2 linked regions of the Callithrix jacchus genome follow. Each later gene encodes a partner of the first gene's protein in a complex. Links are inferred from orthologs where the notes say so. Each region holds a gene or a part of one and is shown in the gene's direction. Other genes may lie near its edges. The genes, in order: PLEKHM1 and MAP1LC3C.

Evidence for each region.
Region 2: the proteins of PLEKHM1 (region 1) and MAP1LC3C are in contact, whole or in part, in a crystal structure (PDB 5DPW), measured with the Homo sapiens proteins. The link is inferred for Callithrix jacchus from reciprocal best matches to the Homo sapiens genes PLEKHM1 and MAP1LC3C. Residues at the interface, in NP_055613.1 of Homo sapiens: Glu632, Asp633, Glu634, Trp635, Val636, Asn637, Val638, Gln639, Tyr640; in NP_001004343.1 of Homo sapiens: Phe13, Arg16, Lys17, Glu25, Ile29, Phe33, Lys36, Pro38, Asp54, Lys55, Thr56, Lys57, Phe58, Leu59, Val60, Pro61, Glu63, Leu64, Ile72, Arg76, Phe114.

The regions. Positions count from the first base shown.
Region 1 is NC_133506.1:85,867,113-85,876,272, reverse strand, and holds the start of PLEKHM1 (pleckstrin homology domain-containing family M member 1), read left to right. Parts: upstream 1-4,108; 5' UTR 4,109-4,215; intron 4,216-9,160. UniProt on the Homo sapiens protein: Acts as a multivalent adapter protein that regulates Rab7-dependent and HOPS complex-dependent fusion events in the endolysosomal system and couples autophagic and the endocytic trafficking pathways.
Region 2 is NC_133520.1:43,980,863-43,990,180, forward strand, and holds MAP1LC3C (microtubule-associated protein 1 light chain 3 gamma), read left to right. Parts: upstream 1-4,363; 5' UTR 4,364-4,462; coding exon 4,463-4,520; intron 4,521-4,621; coding exon 4,622-4,677; intron 4,678-4,832; coding exon 4,833-4,939; intron 4,940-6,787; coding exon 6,788-6,986; 3' UTR 6,987-7,971; downstream 7,972-9,318.

The DNA.
Region 1 (9,160 bases):
CTCAGAGAGTTTCTAGTACTTGCCTGAGGTCACACACTCTGGGCTCTCTGCTTGGGGCTGAGGCCCAAGGGACATTGTGACTTACTTCTCTTTCCTGAACATCAATAAAATTCAATTTAGAAATTTCTGTCTTCAGTGCTATCTTGAGGGGCCTGGGGGAAATGCTGACTGTGTGGCAGCTGTCTTAGCCCATACTCATTGGATTGCCCTGGGCCCCACACTGTTTTAAGGAAGGTCCAGCAAATAACATAGGGTAGAGCTGAGATTCAAATCTAAGCAGCCCTGGCTCTAAAACCCACTGAACAAAGCTGCCTCTCCAACTCGAATCAGAGAGAACTAGGTGAGAATCCTACCTCTAGCACTTACTAGTTGGCTGTGACCACCCCCAAGTTACTTAACCTCTTTTAAGCCTATTTTCTCATCCGTACAATGGGGATAATGGCAGCACCCACCTTTCCGGTGGTTGGTAAGGAATATAAGGTGAACACAGGTGCCTATTTGGGTTCTTCCATTTTCCATAAATGTTAATTCCCTTACCCCTCATCTCCTAGGTTAGTCCAGGAGGACAGACTTGAAGGTTAAAACAGAAAGTAACTGCCAAAAGGGATTATTTAGGGCAGAGATTCCCACTTTTTATTGTGCTTTAGGTCCATCAGTGGTGAGGGCAGGGACAGGAGAGGTGGGGTCAAGTCCAAATTGTTGGACTCCATCCTAGAGTGACTCTTTTGGGTTAGTGTGAGGCTTAGGAATCTGCATTTTGGGCCCATCCCCAGGGCATTCTGATGCCTGCAGTTCTCATGTCTGGCTTTGAATAACTCTGGGTAGTACTTTAAATCTAAGCTGACAGGCCAGTGGGGTGTGAACTGTCCTTGCAAACGTTTTGAGCCCTTCCTGCGCTGACCTCCAACTATGCCTTCACAGTTTGTCTTCAGCCCCCCTTCCATTCTGGCCCTCTCCCCTTACCCTTTCCTTTCCTTTTTTTTTTTTTTTTTTTTTTTAAGACGGGGTCTTGCTCTGTCTCTTAGGCTATAGTGCAAAGGCGCAATCTCGGCTCACTGAAACTTCCACCTTCTGGATTCAAGCAATTCTCCTGCCTCAGCTTCCAAAGTAGCTGGGATTACAGGCGCCCATCACTACACCCGAATAATTTTTGTCTTTTTAGTAGAGATGGGGTTTTACCATGTTAGGCTGGTCTCGAACTCCTCACCTCAGGTGATCCACCCACCTTGGCCTCCCAAAGTGCTGGGATTACAGGCATGAGTCACTGCGCCTGGCCACCCTTTCCTTTTTCACTTTCTTTTTTCTTCTTCTTTTTTTTTTTTTTTTGAGAAAGGATCTCACTCTGTTACCCAGGCTGGAGTGTAGTGGCATGATCTTGGCTCACTGCAACCTCTGCCCCCCTGGTTCAAGCAATTCTCCCAAGTAGCTGGGACTGCAGGCACATGCCACCATGCCTGGCTAATTTTAGTATTTTTAGTAGAGATGAGGTTTCACCATGTTGATTAGGCTGGCATCAAACTTCTGACATCAAGTGATCCGCCTGTCTCGGCCTCCCAAAGTGCTGGGATTAGAGGTGTAAACCACCACGCCCAGCCTCCTTTTTCACTTCCTGCCTTCCTCCCCACCTCTGGGTGCACCCTCCTCTGAACTCAACCTGCATTCCTTTCTGCTGGCCACTTACCAGCCAGTCCCTTCATCTGCAATGCGCTTTACTCACCTAGAAAGCTCACATCAAAAGTTGCCTCTTTCAGGATATCTCTCAAATTCTCCTCTCTGGTCCTTTGGCCCTTTGCAGGTACCCTTTTTCTTGTGCAAGTCACATGATAATGTGAGGGTTTTTTTGTTTTTTTTTTTTCCCTATCTGGAGCTTGCCTGGTGGACTCACGGTCCATTTGTGGAAATACGCATTTCCCTCTCCTCCACTTCCCCTCCATGATCCATGCTTCATGCAGCCTCTCCAAGGCATGCAGAACAAGCTAAGAAGAGGTAAATAAGCCTGCAGACGTCTCTTTTTTTTTGAGATGGAATCTTGCTCTGTTGCTCAGGCTAGAGTGCAATGGTATAATCTCAGCTGACTGCAACCTCTGCCTCCGGGTTGAAGCAATTCTCAGCCTCAGCCTCCCGAGAAGCTGGGATTACAGCATGTGCCACCATGTCTGGCTAATTTTTTGTATTTTTAGTAGAGATGGGGGTTTCACCATCTTGGCCAGGCTGATCTTGAACTCCTAACCTTGTGATCTGCCCACCTCGGCCTCCCAAAGTGCTGGGATTACAGGCATGAGTCACCCTGCCTAGCTGCCTGCAGACCTTACAAAGAAGTGAGGTGGCTTGGGAAGTAAGAGAAGACCAGGAGATAGGGGCTCCTAAAAAGCAGGCAAGAGATTACCGAGGGGTCCCCACAGCTCTAGCACATAGCAGCTCCACAAAAATGTGGTGGAATTACTGAGGGACATTATGTGCTTGATGGGGGACAGCAAATGCTTGTGAAGCCACCAAGAATCATGCTGTGCCAGTTGTGACCAGATATACTATCCTTTTGCCAAGGTAAAAGGACTTCCTTACTGAATCCCTTACTTCCCACTTTGTTTAAAACGAGTTTGACACCAAGAGAATAGTTTGTCTCTATGTCCTTATTTCTAGTCTTCCTGCTCAGCCGTGAGCTGTAATAAACACCCTCAGACCCATCTAGCCTAAAATTGAGGAGGGGAGGTTCTCACTCCTGGAGAGAGAATTACTGAAAGGGTGGTCCTCATACAGTCTGGGGTCATATCCCCAAGGGCTGGTTTTATATTTGAAAGCAGGCAGTGGGACTCTGACCTTTGCAGAGATAGGAGGGACACCCTCCTACCCAGAGAGGCCAAAAGAGCACAGGACGGCCAGGCCGAGGGCAGTGAAGCTTTCGTCCAAGAACTGGCCCGTTTCCCAGCCACCGCTGTGCCTATTTAGGACTCGTATGTAACAGTACTTCTCCTCACCCACATTCAGGACCCAGGCTCCCAACTGACCAAAGCCTGCAAGTGTAAGTGTCCAGAGTATGGGTCCCTGACAACATCCCCTGCCCTGCTCTTCACTAGCTGTGGTCACTACTTAGGACATTTTGTTCCAAGTTCATCTGAAAGAGAAATGTCACTTCTAGGATAGAAAGAAGACAGACAGGCCAGGCATGGTGGTTCACGCCAAAATCCCAGCACTTTGGGAGGCCAAGGCAGGAGCACTGCCTGAGGCCAGGAGTTGGAGACCAGGCTAGGCAACACTGTGAGAAACACTGTGAGATCCCTATCTCCCTGACACACACACACACACACACACACACACACACAGACACACACACACACTAGCTGAGCGTGGTGGTGCATGTCTGTAGTTCCAGCTACTTGAGGCTGAAGTGGGAGAACCCTTTAGCCTGTGAGGTCGAGGGTGTGGTGAGCCGTGATGGTGCCACTGCACTCCAGTCTGGGCGACAGAGACCCTGTCTCAAAAACAAAAACAGAAAGGAAGAGAGAAATTCTCTACATGGCTAGAAGAGAATAACCGGGCCCCTAAGCTTCGCGCCACGCGTGGCTAAAGGGAGAGTTAAACACAGGAGAGTGCCCAAGGGGACTTCAAGGCGTTCCCTTGGGATAAGGTGTGCTTAAAACAGCTATGTTTTTCCTGAAAGCGCAAGGCGGTGGCTCCGCCCCAAGGGCTGCACTGCTGCCCTCGGGCAGGCAAAGCTAGGACTGGCATTATTAGTCCCACTCACACATCGGAACTCTTCAACTGAGGGATGCGAAGTGACAGCCCCAATATTGCACAGATGGTGCTGAGGCCAAGCGAGGTCAGGTACCCAGAAGCCAGGATCTAGTCTGACGCAGACCTGCGGGAGGCAAGCGGTACGGAGGCGTTCCTCCTGGCACCGGTGCCTTCGCCTCTCTGCGCCCGGCCGGCGCCCCCGGGTCCGGAGCCTCCCAGACCAAGAATCTGCTCGGTGGTTCGGCTCCCACGGACTTCCGAGAGCAGCTGGCCCCGCCCCAGGACTCCTTCGGGCCCCGCGATTGGCAGCACGGGCCGAGGGCGGGGCTTGGGCGGGTCCGGAGCGCCGAGCGAGCGTGATGGCGTCAGGAGCCGCGGGCGCCGCTTCCTGTTGTCAGTGGCCGAGAGGCCGCATCCTCTGCTCCGAGGCTGAGGGGCTGCTGCAACCGGGAGCGCCCCCCGCCTCGCTCCCTTTTCTGTTTGGTGAGTTAGGGGGTCAAGAGGCGAGAAGGGCGGCGGAGGGGCGGCGGGGCCGAGGCGCGAATGGGCGGGTGGGCCTCCCGCTCCCCCCGCGATCCTCAGCCCTGGTTGCCCTGAGACTGCCCGGCTTCAGAGCCCTCAGCCCTGCCCAGCCCGCGCCCTCCCGGCTCCCACCCAGCCTTCCCCCCGCACCGCCGCTGCGCGCCCTTCCGCCCGGTCTGTTCCACCCCAAGCCCGCTCCCGCATCCCCTCACCAGCGGTCTTGCGTAAATGCAGCTTCACTAGTGACCCCACTTTACCCCAGTTCCAACCCCGATCTCGGCCACGTCCTTTCGCCTCTCCCTGACACACCTCGTCCTCTCTCCCGACCCCTCTGGTAACCCCGGTGCTCCGCGCTCACCTCCCCGAGACCCAGTATTCGGGTTTCCCCTTTTCTGGCTCAGCTTTCTTATCCCAGTCACCCGCATCACCTGTCCAGCTCCCCAAGATCTGCTGATCCCAAACACTCTACCTCTGCCCCTTCTCATCTAAGGCCCCTCCCCCAAAGTAGGTGCCCTGTTGAGCTCACCGCTTTCTTCTGGATAACTCTATCTCAGCCTTATTCCAAGTCTTAACTGTGTCTTCTCGTCTTAGTCTCCTAGCCCACTGTATACTTCCTTTCCGACTCTTGCCGTCCTGAGGACATCAATCCCTAAGTCTTTGCTAAACTGTCCTGAACTCTTGCTGCCTCCTTTCTTACCACCCTCACCCAATCTGGTTAAAAATGACATCTCCATGTCCTTTCACCCTCCCTGACTCCACCGCAGCTCTTCACCCCAACTCTGCGTCCATTCCTTTCCTCGACCCAACTCCCATTCAATCTGAGAACCTGGTGCAGAGTCTCCTGCCAACTCCACCAACAGCCTCAACAGCCAAATGTAGGTGCTCACTCAGACTGGCAGTTAGAGACTGAGCAGTGTGATTGGTGGGCCTAGGGCCTCAGGTGGTAAATGAGGTTGGAGGAGCAGTGGGCTCTCCCCAAATAGTGGATTGGGCCAGAAGGTTTTCCTAGCGTTTGGTCTCCTGTACCTGTCCGCAGCAACTGTGTTTCTGGCATTCATATTAAATGACTTGTGCTGGCTGCTGGAATGGTAGGTATCATTCAAACACCTGGAAGGTGAGAGATGGCCACTCACTCAGCTCACGTAGCATAGGATGATGGAAGTTATCACTTCCTTCTAGCTGCTGTTCTGGCCCTGGAGAGCCTCTGGGAGGTTTTTTAAGGGCCCTAAAGAACATTGTCTCTGCTGTGGTCACAGAACATTGTCCGTGTTCCTTTTTCTGGTGCTTGTAAGGGCCTCTCCCTGCCAGAGCTGATGGCAGATCAATCCTGATGCTGAATTCAGGGGACACGATGGATGCCAGAGGCAGTGTTACCTGTTGTGAAGAGTATAGGCGAGTAGGTCCTGGGGAGACTGAGGCCTAGGAGGTACAGAGGCTCTTGAATCGCCTTCTTTTCTTGCAAGTGCTGGCTCATTGACTTTTGGCCATTTGGATTCCATGAACACAGGGAACCACATTATCTCAGAGTAGCTGAGGCAGAAGAGTATCTCAGAGGCACCCAAGTCCCATGCTCAGCATTTATAGTTTCCTGAGGGCTTTTGGGGACACATTTTCTCTGAATCCTGAGGACCCAGCATGAGATGGGTGGGCCATTTGACCACAGTTTTAAAGGGTCCTAAAGAACATTGTCTCTGCTTGCCGTTTATAGTCTTACTCCTTTGAAAACGAAATGCTGTTTACCTTCAATGTCCTTCTATTCATATGCAGGTTATTTAAGTTGTTTTCAGCCTTATTGGCAGCTTGGCTTAATGGAAGGAGGTCCACAGTGGCCCCAGCACTTAAGAGTTACATACCCCAACTTCCCAGTGTGTGAAATGGAGATACTTGCCCTGTGCCTTGTTTTTATTTTATTAATTGGTTCATTCAACAGCTTATTTTTTGAGCACCAGTGTGTGCCAAGCACTGTTCTAGGTACAGTGGTGACTGGGTCAGGCAACTTTCCTGTTTTCATTCATTTAGAGTTTGGTCCTTGTTAGAATCCTCTGGGATATGGGACAAGAATATAGGGAAGATAGGTGTTATTGGATGGAAGGAAGGAGGGAGGAAAGAAAGATTCCCAGTGTTCACTGACTCCAGTTCTGCCCTCATCCACTAGCCCTGAGTCTGGGAATCACAAGCTACAAGTTTCTCACCCTTCATCTGGTATTTAATTGCTTCAAAGCTCCAACCCCCCACCATTCCATCCATCACAGAAATCCAGCTTTCCTCAGGTGGACAGAGTTGCTGTTTCCTCAGTCAGCACTCACATGCCTGAAGGATCAGCTGCCTTTCTGAATCAGAAGATAACTTTGTCATTCTTTTCCAATGGAAAAAACATGACTCATCAATTGGTACAGCAGCTGGGTGGCTTAAAGCCAGGCTGTGGCTCTGAACAGCCAGGTACACAATTCAGTGGTGAGAAGGCAGTGGGGAATGGCTGAGAAGTCCCTCAAGAGAAGAGGCTGCTGTTCACTGATAGTTGAGTGTTTTGAGAGTGGTGAAGCCAGGTTATCTTTCTTCTTTTAATGTAAGTCTCATCTAAGTAATTCTCTTTTTTTCTTCCTTGATATCTGTAGGAAGTGAAATTGGACATATAGAGAAGGCCAGGCAGTGTAATGAAGGAAACCAACTGGAACTGTTCCTTCCTGTGTTGAAACATTGAAGAAAGTATAGCTCTGAGGCTTTGGGAGCATTGGTAGGACCTGGGTTCGGCTGGTTGGGGCTATAAATCTGATCGGCAGAACTGTTTCTTGTTGGTTTTAGACCTTCTGTGATAAAATGGAGCTTCCAAGTACCTCTGAAGAGGAAGTTACAGCTTGCCTGAAATTCTCTGAGCCAAAGACCTGAGGCCGTTTAGTCCAGGGAAAGATGCAAGAGTTGGGATGAAGAAACCAGAGAGTTCTGTCCCTTACCTGAGGCTCATTGCTACTGAACCTCAGTTTTGCCCATGACCCATGACATAGTCCTGGGAGGTCCTGAGAACAGGTGCCCAGGGTGATTGGGTTACAGCTTGCTTTTATCCAAGGTACTGGCAGAAGTTACAGGCAAAGACATAAATTAGTACATGTAAGGTATACATTGATAGGGGCAAGGTAAGGTGAGTTAAAAGATTTCCTGATTGGCAATTGGTTGAAAGAGTTAAACTTTGCCTAAGGAGTTGAAGTCAACGGAGAGAAATGCTTGGAGTTAAGATAAGGTGGGTTGTGGAAGCCAAGGTGTAGATGAAGCCTTCAGGTAACAGGCTCCAGAGAAAATAGACAGTACGTGTATTTTATCAGACCCTAAAAGGTGTGGGACTCTTAGTTAAATCTCTCCTAGATCAGTAAAAGGCCTAGAAAGGTAAGGGAATCTCTGCAGGATATAAATTTTCCCCACAAGAGGTGGCTTTGCAGGGCCATTCCAAAATATGTCAAATACACATATTTGGGGGTAAAATACTTTGATTTCCTTTAGGGCCAGTTATCTCTCATGTGATGTTAGACCAGAGTCAGGTTGGAGTTGGTATCTTCATTGCTAAGGGTCTGTCCTGTGAGTCTTAGGATTCCAATGCTGGTCAGTTGTGTCTAAGCTCCAGAAGGGAGAGGCTATCATGAGGCATGGCCCATGCCCCACTTCCTGTCATGGCCTGAACTAAGTTTTTAAGTTTTTTCAAAATCCCTTTGGCCAAGAGGGAATCCATTCAGGCAGTTGGGGGATGTAGAATTTTATTTTTGGTTTACAGCACTGACTCAGGAATTGGGGTTATTCTAGGGCTGAGTTGGCTTCCTCCTGGGGGCTGGTGGTGGAGTCGGGCCACTTATCAGCCCTGGGACCTCAGGAACTTCCTTAACCTGGGTCAGTTGTCTTTCTGTATCTGTCAGGTGGAGATAATAAAACAGCACTTCTAGGGTGTTTAGGAGGGATATCAATTAGCAATATAAGTAAAGAGAGCCTTGGTTTTGTTAACTTCTTTGTGCCATTATTTTTTGAGAGCCCAGACAGCCATCCCTTTCCTGGTGTTCCCCTGATGCTCAGCCAGGCATTCGCTAGAGATTTGTTAAGATGTGAATGTGCCTGCCTAGCCTAGGTCTGCCCAAGTTGCTGGGATGGGGCCACCAGCCAGCAGCCCCCTCAGGCTCAGGCCAAAGTCCTCACCCCACCCCACCCATTCCCAGGGGAAATCCGGCAGCCCTGAGGGATTGAACCACTCACTGACTTCAGCTCTTCCTGCATATTCATTTGGACGTGGCATTCTTGGTCTGTAGATGTAGGTGGTCATATCCACTGGGATGACAGACACCAGGTATAGGTACTCATCAGGCCCTGTGACAGGCGTTTTACACATTCTCCATCTAAGAGGTCTGCGCATGCCTACCTGGTTAGTGGCAGATTGCAATGAGACCTCGTGGTTGTTGCGATTAGACGTGCCTCTGTATGCTACTCAAGCCAGACCCTTGAAGCCTAAAGGAGAAGAAGTGTAGCAAGGGAGCCCTTTCTTTTCAAAGCCATTCCAGTTGTACTTTTTACTGCTGAGCTGGCAGACATTGGACTGGGACAAGCGTGAGGGGTGGGGGCAGGGTGTTGCAGGACCCAGCCCCTGAATGTAACTTGTAAGCCCCTGCTTCCTGGTCCCAGTGGGTTCCTTCCGCCTTCAGCTGCATCCTCCGCTTTGAACCCACAGTTCTGTATCTGCATCAGCCTGTCGTTCCCTGCTTACAGGTTTCGATCCTACAGGGCCCTGGCTTTCCGGGCAGCATTTGATGTGAATTGCCTTTACCACTTACTTCTTGGGGTGGACCCACCTCTGGCACCCAGGACTCCTTGCCTCCCAAGGACTGAGCCCTCTGGGCTCTCCTTCCTTCAAATCCACTCTCAGTTTTTACTTTTG
Region 2 (9,318 bases), on another chromosome or scaffold:
ACAGGGGTCTCATTCTGTTGTCCAGACCAGTCTCTAACACCTGTCTTGAAGCAGTCTTCTCAGTTCAGCCTCCCCAGGTGCTAGGAGTAGAGGCGTGAGCCACTGTACCCACCCAGTTTTCTGTTTATTAAAATATTAGTAGGCTGGATATGGTGGCTCATGCCTGTAATCCCAGCACTTAGGGAGGCTGAGGGAGCAGGGTCATTTGAGTCCAGGAGAAGGATTGTTTGGGTCCAGGAGCACAAGGCCAGCCTAGGCAACATAGGGAAACCCCAACTCTGTAAATCATTTTGAAAAGCAGGCAGGCATGGTAGTGTGAGCCTACGGTCTCAGCGACTTGGGAGGCCAAGGCAAGAGTATCACCTGAGTCCAGAAGGTTGACGCTGCAGTGAGCTGTGATCATCCCACAGTACACCGGGCGGGCAACAGAGTGAGGCCCTGTCTCAAAAACACAACAAAACCGAAAAGAAATTAAAATATCGGTAGATAGACCTCCTAATGAAGCGAGGGCACTCTTCTGCAGCTGTTCTCCACAGGACTGTTCCTATTTCCTTCTCCGCAATCCACGTAGCATCCACAGTACGTGGCTTTGGTCACCTCTAAGCCACCTAGGTCCCATTCCATTGCCAGAGGAGCACTGGCTGGGAGGATGATGCGTCCAGACGACACCCCAGACACTGCTCCCCTCAAAATGGCTTTCAACCCAAAAGAAAAGAAAAGCCTGGGTGTGGTGGTTCACGCCTGTAATCCCAGGACTTTGGGAGGCTGAGGCAGGTGGATCACAAGGTCAGGAGTTCCAGATCAGCCTGGCCAATATGGTGAAACTCCATCTCTCCTAAAAATACAAAAATTAGCTGGGCTTGGTGGCAGGCGCCTATAATCCCAGCTACTCGGAAGGCTGAGGCAAGGGAATTGCTCAAACCCAGGAGGCAGACATTGCAGTGAGCCAAGATCATGCCACTACACTCCAGCCTGGTAACAGAGCAAGATTCCGTCTCAAAAAAAAAAAAAAAGAAAAGAAAAGAAAAAAATGATCTGGGCTGGGCATGGTGACTCATGCCTGGAATCCCAGCACTTTGGGAGGCAGAGGCGAGTGGATCATGAGGTCAGGAGACCGAGACCAGCCTGGCCAACATGGTGAAACCCCATCTCTACTAAAAATACAAAAATTAGCTGTGTGTGGTGGCTCACGCCTTTAGTCCCAGCTACTGGGGAGGCTGAGGTAGGAGAATTCCTTGACCTGGACCCAGGAGGCGGAGGTTGCAGAGAGCCAAGATTGTGCCACTGCACTCCAGCCTGGGCTACAGAATGAGACTCCATCTCAAAAAAAAAGAAAGGCCGGGCACGGTGGCTCATGCCTATAATCCCAGCACTTTGGGAGGACAAGACAGGTGGATCACAAGGTCAAGAGATCGAGACCATCCTGGTCAACATGGTGAAACCCCGTCTCTACTAAAAATACAAAAATTAGCTGGGCATGGTGGCGCGTGCCTGTAGTCCCAGCTACTCAGGAGGCTGAGGCAGGAGAATTGCCTGAACCCAGGAGGCGGAGGTTGAGGTAAGCCGAGATCACGCCATTGCACTCCAGCCTGGGTAACAGGAGTGAAACTCTGTCAAAAAAAAAGAAAGAAAGAAAGAAAGGTTCTTTAGTGCAGAACACTGCATACCTGCTGCTTAATAGTCACACCTGACAGCATACCTCTTTTTTAAGACAGGGAAAGAGGATGAGGCCACTTATCTCTTCAGTGATGCCATTATTTTTATTTGTTTTTTATTCATTTATTTTTTTATTTTTATTTTGAGATGGAGTTTTGTTCTTGTTGCCCAAGCTGGAGTGCAATAGCGTGATCTCAGCTCACTGCAACCTCCATCTCCCCCCGGGTTCAAGTGATTCTCCTGCCTCAGTCTCCCGAGTAGCTGGGATCACAGGCATGTACCACCACACCCAGCTAATGTTTGTATTTTTTTTTTTTTTTTTTTTTTGAGACGGAGTTTCGCTCTTGTTACCCAGGCTGGAGTGCAAGGGCGCGATCTTGGCTCAACGCAATCTCCGCCTCCTGGGTTCAGGCAATTCTCCTGCCTCAGCCTCCTGAGTAGCTGGAATTACAGGCACGCGCCACCATGCCCGGCTAATTTTTTGTATTTTTAGTAGAGACGGGGTTTCACCATGTTGACCAGGATGGTCTCCATTAATGTTTGTATTTTTAGTAGAGACAGGGTTTCACCATGTTGGTCAGGCTGGTCTTGAACTCCTGACCTTGTGATCCACCTACCTCGGCCTCCCAAAGTGCTAAGATTACAAGTGTGAGCCACCTCGTCCTGCGTGTATTTTTAGTTGAGATGAGGTTTTGGTATGTTGGCCAGGCTGGTCTCCAACTCCTGACCTCTGGTGATCCCCCAGCCTTGGCCTGCCAAAATGCTAGGATTATAGGCGTGAGTCACCATGCCTGGCACAGGGGGTTAATTTCTAAGGCCTTGTGATATTGAGAAATACATTTTGTTTTCATCAAATTTCCTGGCATACAACTTCTTAAAATTCTTGGAATTTTCTTTGTTTTTGTTTTTGAGATGAAGTCTCACTCTCTTGCCCAGGCTGGAGTGCAGTGGTGCAATCTCAGCTCACTGCAACCTCCACCTCCTGGGTTCTCATGATTCTCCTGCCTCAGGATCCTGAGTAGCTGGGACTATAGGTGCCCACTATCACACCTGGCTAGTTTTTGTATTTTTAGTGAAGACAGGGTTTCACCATGATGGCCAAGCAGATATGGGACTCCTGACTGCAGGTGATCCACCTGCCCTGGCTTCCTAAGGTGCTGGGATTACAGGCATGAGTCACCTGGCCTGGTGATAAGTGTCTTTTTTAACGTTCATGAGTTGACCGATGGCTGGCAGTCCCTGGATAGCTTCTGGATGGGGGCTGGTCACCAGAAAGACAAAGGTGAGATTAGAGGGTTGGAATTTTTAGCCCCACCTCCAGCCTCTGGGGAGGGTAGAGGGGTTGGAGGTTAAATTGATTATCAGTGGCCAACGGTTTAATCAATCTTGCGGATGTACTAAAACCTCTATAAAAACCCAAAAGGCCTAGGGTTCTGATTTTTGTTATGAGAATATAGGAGAAATGGCATTTGTTCCCTCTATGTATGACTAGAGGCCCATTTTCTTAACTCTAAAAGGGAGATCTTGGGGGCAGTTGTTCTTCCTTCCTTCTTTTATCCCAGAGAAAACTAAATGACAAAATATACCTACCAGAGTGTTGTACTTGGACTTCCTTGTGACAACTCTGGGTTTGTTCGGGTTTTTGCTTGTTCGTTTGTTTGAGATGGAGTTCCATTCTTGTTGCCCAGGCTGAAGTGCAATGGTTGGACCTAAGCTCACTGCAACCTCCACCTCCTGGGTTCAAGTGATTCTCCTGCCTCAGCCTCCCAACTAGCTGGGATTATAGGCTCCTGCCACCACACCTGGATAATTTTTGTATTTTTAGTAGAGACGGGGTTTCAGCATGTTGGCCAGGCTGGTCTCAAACTCCTGACCTCAGGTGATCTACACACCTTGGCCTCCCAAGTGCTGGGATTACAGGCATGAGGCACTGCGCCTGGCCGACAACTATGGGTTTTAATCCAAACTGCATCTGTGTAGCTGTGTGCCCTCGGCCAAATCGTTTCACCTTTTTTTTTTTTTTTTTTTTTTTTTGAGGCAAGTCTTACGCTGTTGCCCAAGCTAGAATGCAGTGGTGCAATCTTGACTAATCACAACCTCCACCTCCCAGGTTCAGGCGATTCTCCTGCCTCAGCCTCCCAAGTAGCTGGGATGACAGGTGCTCACCACCATGCCCAGCTAATTTTTGTATTTTTAGTAGAGACAGAGTTTCACTATGTTGGCCAGACTGGTCTCGAACTCCTGACCTCCTGATCTGCCTGCCTCAGCCTCCCAAAGTGCTGGGATTACAGGTGTGAGCCACTGCGCCCGGCCTCACTTCACCTTTCTTAGTATAGGTTTCCTTCTGTGAAAAGGGCACGGACTGTGGTGAGAATTACACAGCACACTTCAGGCTGAGGTGGATCCATCTTGGACTCCTCTCAAGGTGGTTCTCTACTGAAGTACAGAAACGTCGCCAGCATAAGGCAGTTTTACGTCTCCACGGTCCGCTGCCTAGCCAATGATTTTATTACAAACCCTAATTTCTTTTGCAAAGAAACATCTTGAACTGGTCATGAATAAAGTGGCTTTTCTCTGACCAGCAAGTAGGTGGCGATTCCATTTCCACCAGAACTGACCTCGTGCTGCTCGGGGAGGGGGAGGCGGGTGAGCAGAGGCCTGATGTCACTCAGCTCTACATAAGGGCCCCCTGCAGGCTCCTGCAGGCAGTTTGGAAGCAGCTGGAGGAATGAATTAGGTTCCTGGTTGCAGTACTTTTGTTCTTCTTTTCTTTTCTTTCTTAAAACAGACAAAGCTGTTGAGTGAAATGCCGCCTCCACAGAAAATCCCAAGCGTCAGACCTTTCAAGCAGAGGAAAAGCTTGGGTAAATTTCTTGGGGTACCTTTCTGGGTTACTCGAAAGAGAGGAGAGGATCTGGCTTTCTCTTGATGTTTGCTTATTCTCTTGTGCTTGAAATATTCACAGCAATCAGACAAGAGGAAGTTGCTGGAATCTGGGCAAAGTTCCCAAACAAGATCCCGGTAAGACATCATTGTACTTCCCTTGTGGGGGGCGGGGTTCTGAACCTGTCCTTTGAAAAAACCAAGACCAGCCAACAACTTCCCTCTCTCTGTTCCAAGATCCTAAGACTCAGAGAACTCTGAGTCACATTCTTAAGGACTGACGCTCTTGACAGGTGATAGTGGAGCGCTACCCCAGGGAGAAGTTCCTGCCCCGGCTGGACAAAACCAAGTTCCTGGTCCCGCAGGAGCTGACCATGACCCAGTCCCTCAGCATCATCCGGTAGGTGGCGCAGAGCGTGCCCGGGAGGAAGGTGTCGGGGGTGTGTGGGGGCTCTTCTGTTTCCTTCGTTAGGTGGTTTTATTTTGGGGATGGGGGTATGTCAGGGAAAGAGAGGAAAGAGATTTTTTTGAAGTCATCTTTCAGATTCACTAGTGCCCTGAAAAGATGCTCTTAGAATAATTCTATTTTAAATCCGGGTGCACCGACTCATGCCTGTAATCCCAGCACTTTGGGAGGCTGAGGTTACGAATTCGAAAACAGCCCAGCCAACATGGTGAAACCCTGACTCTACTAGAAATACAAAAATTAGCTGGGTGTGGGGGTGCACGCCTGTAATGCCAGCTGCTCAAGAGGCTGAGGCAGGAGAATCGCTTGAACCTGGGAGGCAGAGGTTGCAGTGAGCTGAGATTGCACCGTTGCACTCCAGCCTGGGCAACAAGAGTAAAACTCCATCTCAAAAAAAAAAAGAAAGAAAGAAAAAATTACTCTATTTTATTTTACACAAAGATGGCTGTATAATTGTCAGTGACCAAACCTTTGGGGTTATTTGGGGAGGAGTTATCTGGGTGTAAAATGAATTGGATTCTAGTTACTCCCATCTCCCACTGCTGCATGGACATAGCCCACCTGAAGGCTCAAAGCTCTAAGATAGGAATGGGTGGGCTGTGCCCGCTTCACCAATTAGAGCACCTGGAGGAAGTGTGCTTAAAGTGAGGCCAAGCCTTCACCTAGGCACCTACGTTTTCACACTGCCATCTGCTCCGGGATAACTGGGCACTCAGATTGCCCTTGGCATTTGAAGCGTGTTCAACTAAATATGGCTGCCTTCCTATCGCCTTGATGTGAACGCAGAAATAACACAGGAAGGAAAGGGCACACTTCAAGGCAGGAGATCCCTTCCAAGTGTCATCCTAGGCTGTTCAACAGTGACATGCCAGGCCGGGCGCAGTGTCTCGAGCCTGTAATCCCAGCACTTTGGGAGGCCAAGGCAGGTGAATCACCTGACATCAGGAGTTCAAGACCAGTCTGGCCAACATGGTGAAACTCCGTATCTTCTAAAAATGCAAAAACTAGCTGAATGTGGTGGCACACGGCTGTAATCCCACCTACTTGGGAGGATAAGACAGGAGAATCGCTTCAACCTGGGTGGTGGAGGTTACAGTGAGCTGAGATCACACCATGGCACTCCAGCATGGGCAACAGAGTGAGTGAAATTCCATCTCAAAAAAAAAGTGAGATGCCAGAGAGACTATGTATCACTTTTGTACCCCTGGGGAAACAGCTTTAATTTCATAGCAAACAGAAGTTATTTACTTAACTTTTTTTTTTTTTTTTTTTTTTGAGATGGCGTCTGGCTCTGCCACCCAGGCTGGAGTGCAGTGGTGTGATCTCCGCTCACTGCAACTTCTGCCTCCTGGGTTCAGACAATTCTCTGCCTCAGCCTCCCAAGTAGCTTACAGGTGCCCACCACCACGCCCGGCTAACTTTTGTATTTTTAGTAGAGACGGGGTTTCACCGTCTTGGCGAAGCTGGACTTGAACTCCTGACCTTGTGATTCCCCCGCCTCAGCCTCCCAAAGTGCTGGGATGACAGGCCTGAGCCACGGCGCCTGTCCAGCGCGCTTAGCAGGTTTGTGTCGTCATCTTTCCCTGCTGTGTTTCCTCGTCGTGTTTTGGCATATTTCATCCATGGAATGACCTCACCCTTTTGACCCAACTACGACTCCTTGTAGTTTCTAAATCTCAGGGAAGAAGGAGGGAGCAATTCCCTCTTCTTGAGCGTCATGATGCTGCAGATCCCTGGGCTGCCTCACAGGTCACCCCCTCACCACCCTCCTGCCCACCCCAGGAGCCGCATGGTCCTGAGAGACACAGAAGCCTTTTACTTGCTGGTGAACAACAAGAACCTGGTCAGCATGAGTGCAACCATGGCAGAGATCTACAGGGACTACAAGGATGAGGACGGCTTCGTGTACAAGACCTACGCCTCCCAGGAGACGTTTGGCTGCCTGGAGTCATCAGCCCCCCTGGGATGGGAGCAGCCTTGAGGACAGACCCTGCAATCCTCTCTAGCCCATGTGGGGAAGAACAGGTGCTCTGACAGACGTATCAGCCGCTGGCAGAAGGGATTGGATTTCTCCTGTATGTATATGGAGGAGTCTGAGAAGCAGGGATGCTGGGAGTGATCAGGTCCAGCTATTGGCAGCAGAGTGGTGGCTCTTCCTAGTTTAGTTTTTGTGCTCCATGCTCTTGTGTTCTTCTAAGAAAAATGTGGGCTGCTCTTGAAAGTTTTGTAATTATAACTCTTTTTTTTTTGAGACAGGTTCTTGCTCTGTTGCCCAGGCTGGAGTACAGTGGCACGATCTTGGCTCACCACAGCCTCTGCCTCCTGGGTTCAAGGGATTCTCCTGCCTCAGCCTCCTGAGTAGCTGGGATAACAAGTGCATGCCACCACACCAGGCCAATTTTTGTAATTTTAGTAGAGACGAGGTTTCACCACATTGGCCAGGCTGGTCTCAAACTCCTGCCCACAGGTGATCCACCCACCTCTGCCTCCCAAAGTGCTGAGATTACAGGTGTGAGCCACTGCATCCAGCCATATAACTCTATTCTAAATAAGAAATGGTTGGCTTGTGTGATGGCTTTGTGTGATGAGCTGGAGATAATATTTTTCAAGTGTCTTCTGTGCTATATGTGGGAGGGCCATTGGGGAGTGGATTTCACTCCCTGCATGTAGGCAGGGATGCCCTGCAGGGCTCAGGCCTAGAGAACCTCCAGCCTGTAGACTGCCTCTGTGGAACCCAATGAAGCCAGTGTGACCCATGATAAGCTCACCTGGAGGCGCCCTCTCCTGTGTCATTAGAGAGATTATCCTGTTTCCCCAGCGTTCACTCTATGTGGTTATTTTCTCTTTTTGTCCTGCTATACCAGACATATTTATGCCAAAGCTGTAACTTCTCAACATAGTCATTTAAATGCACATGTTTACTAGGTGCCAAGCTTTACTCTGAAATAAACATTCTTTATTTTAAAGGAGCTTTATTCTTCGGCTTCTTACCACAACTCTCTATGGCTAACTACTGCTACAGTTGCCCACACAATGGGTGGGTGTGATCGCTTGGTGGGTGACGTCCACTGACTACCACCACGGAGGATGTAGCGAGGGGATGCATTAATTCTCACAAGTCAGGAGGGCACTGGGGATAGTTCCCACCGCAGTGCCTCCGGGAACAAAGGTGAACACAGGGCACTCACTGGGCTGGTTAGCTGAGTCACCGTATGCAGAGGCGGAGTCAAGGAGTGCAGGCGCAGTCACCGATCATGCCTCTCCACAGGCTGCAGGTACAGAGAATGGCGAATAATCCTGAGGAGTAGGTAAGGAGACATGAAAATGGCGAATAAGCTTCTCCTTAGAAGGGAATTTTTTTCCTCCATTAATGAGCCTTTTTATTATTGTCATGGTTTTTTTTAATTTTTTGGCTTTGTTTTGTTTTGTTTTTTGAGACAAAGTTTCACTCCTGGTGCTGAGGCTGGAGTGCAGTGGCGGGATCTCGGCTGACTGCAACCCCCACCTCCCAGGTTCAAGTGATTCTCCTGCCTCAGCCTCCCGAGTAGCTGGGATTACAGGTATTTGCCACCACGCCCAGTTAATTTTGTATTTTTACTAGAGATGAGGTTTCTCCATGTTAGTCAGGCTGGTCTTGAACACCTGACCTCAGGTGATCCGCCCACCTGGACCTTGCAAAGTGCTGGGGTTACAGGCATGAGCCACCACACCTGGCTTTTTAAATTTTTTAATCGTAGGTTCCTTACTGGTTTTGCTTCCATGAGTGGCTGTGACCAGGGGAAAAGGGTGAGGAACGAGCTGGCAAGGAGGCGTCATCTCCACAACATTCCATTTATACACAAAACTAGACAAGCATAGAGTCACTATTGTGGTTAGAAGTTGGCAGCATGGGGCCGGGTGCAGTGGCTCACGCCTGTAATCCTAGCACTTTGGGAGGCCGACGCAGGCAGATTACCTGAGCTCAAGAGTTCCAGATCAGCCTGGGATACATTGTGAAACCCCAACTCTACTAAAATACAAAAACTTGGCCGGCTGTGACAGTGCATGCCTATAGTTCCAGCTACTGGAGAGGCTCAGGCAGGAGAATCGCTTGAACCTGGGAAGCGGAGGTTGCAGTGAGCTGAGATCACACACCGCACTCCGGCCTGAGCAACAGAACGAGACTCTGTCTCCAAAAAAAAGTTAACAGCATGGGAAGGGGGAGGAACAGGGAGGGAGTAGGGTGTTGTTAAAAAAAGAAAAAAACAGGCCTCCTCACAACTGGGGTACCTGGAGGGAGCTTGGTCTGCTTCAACCCAAGAGGAATCAGAAGA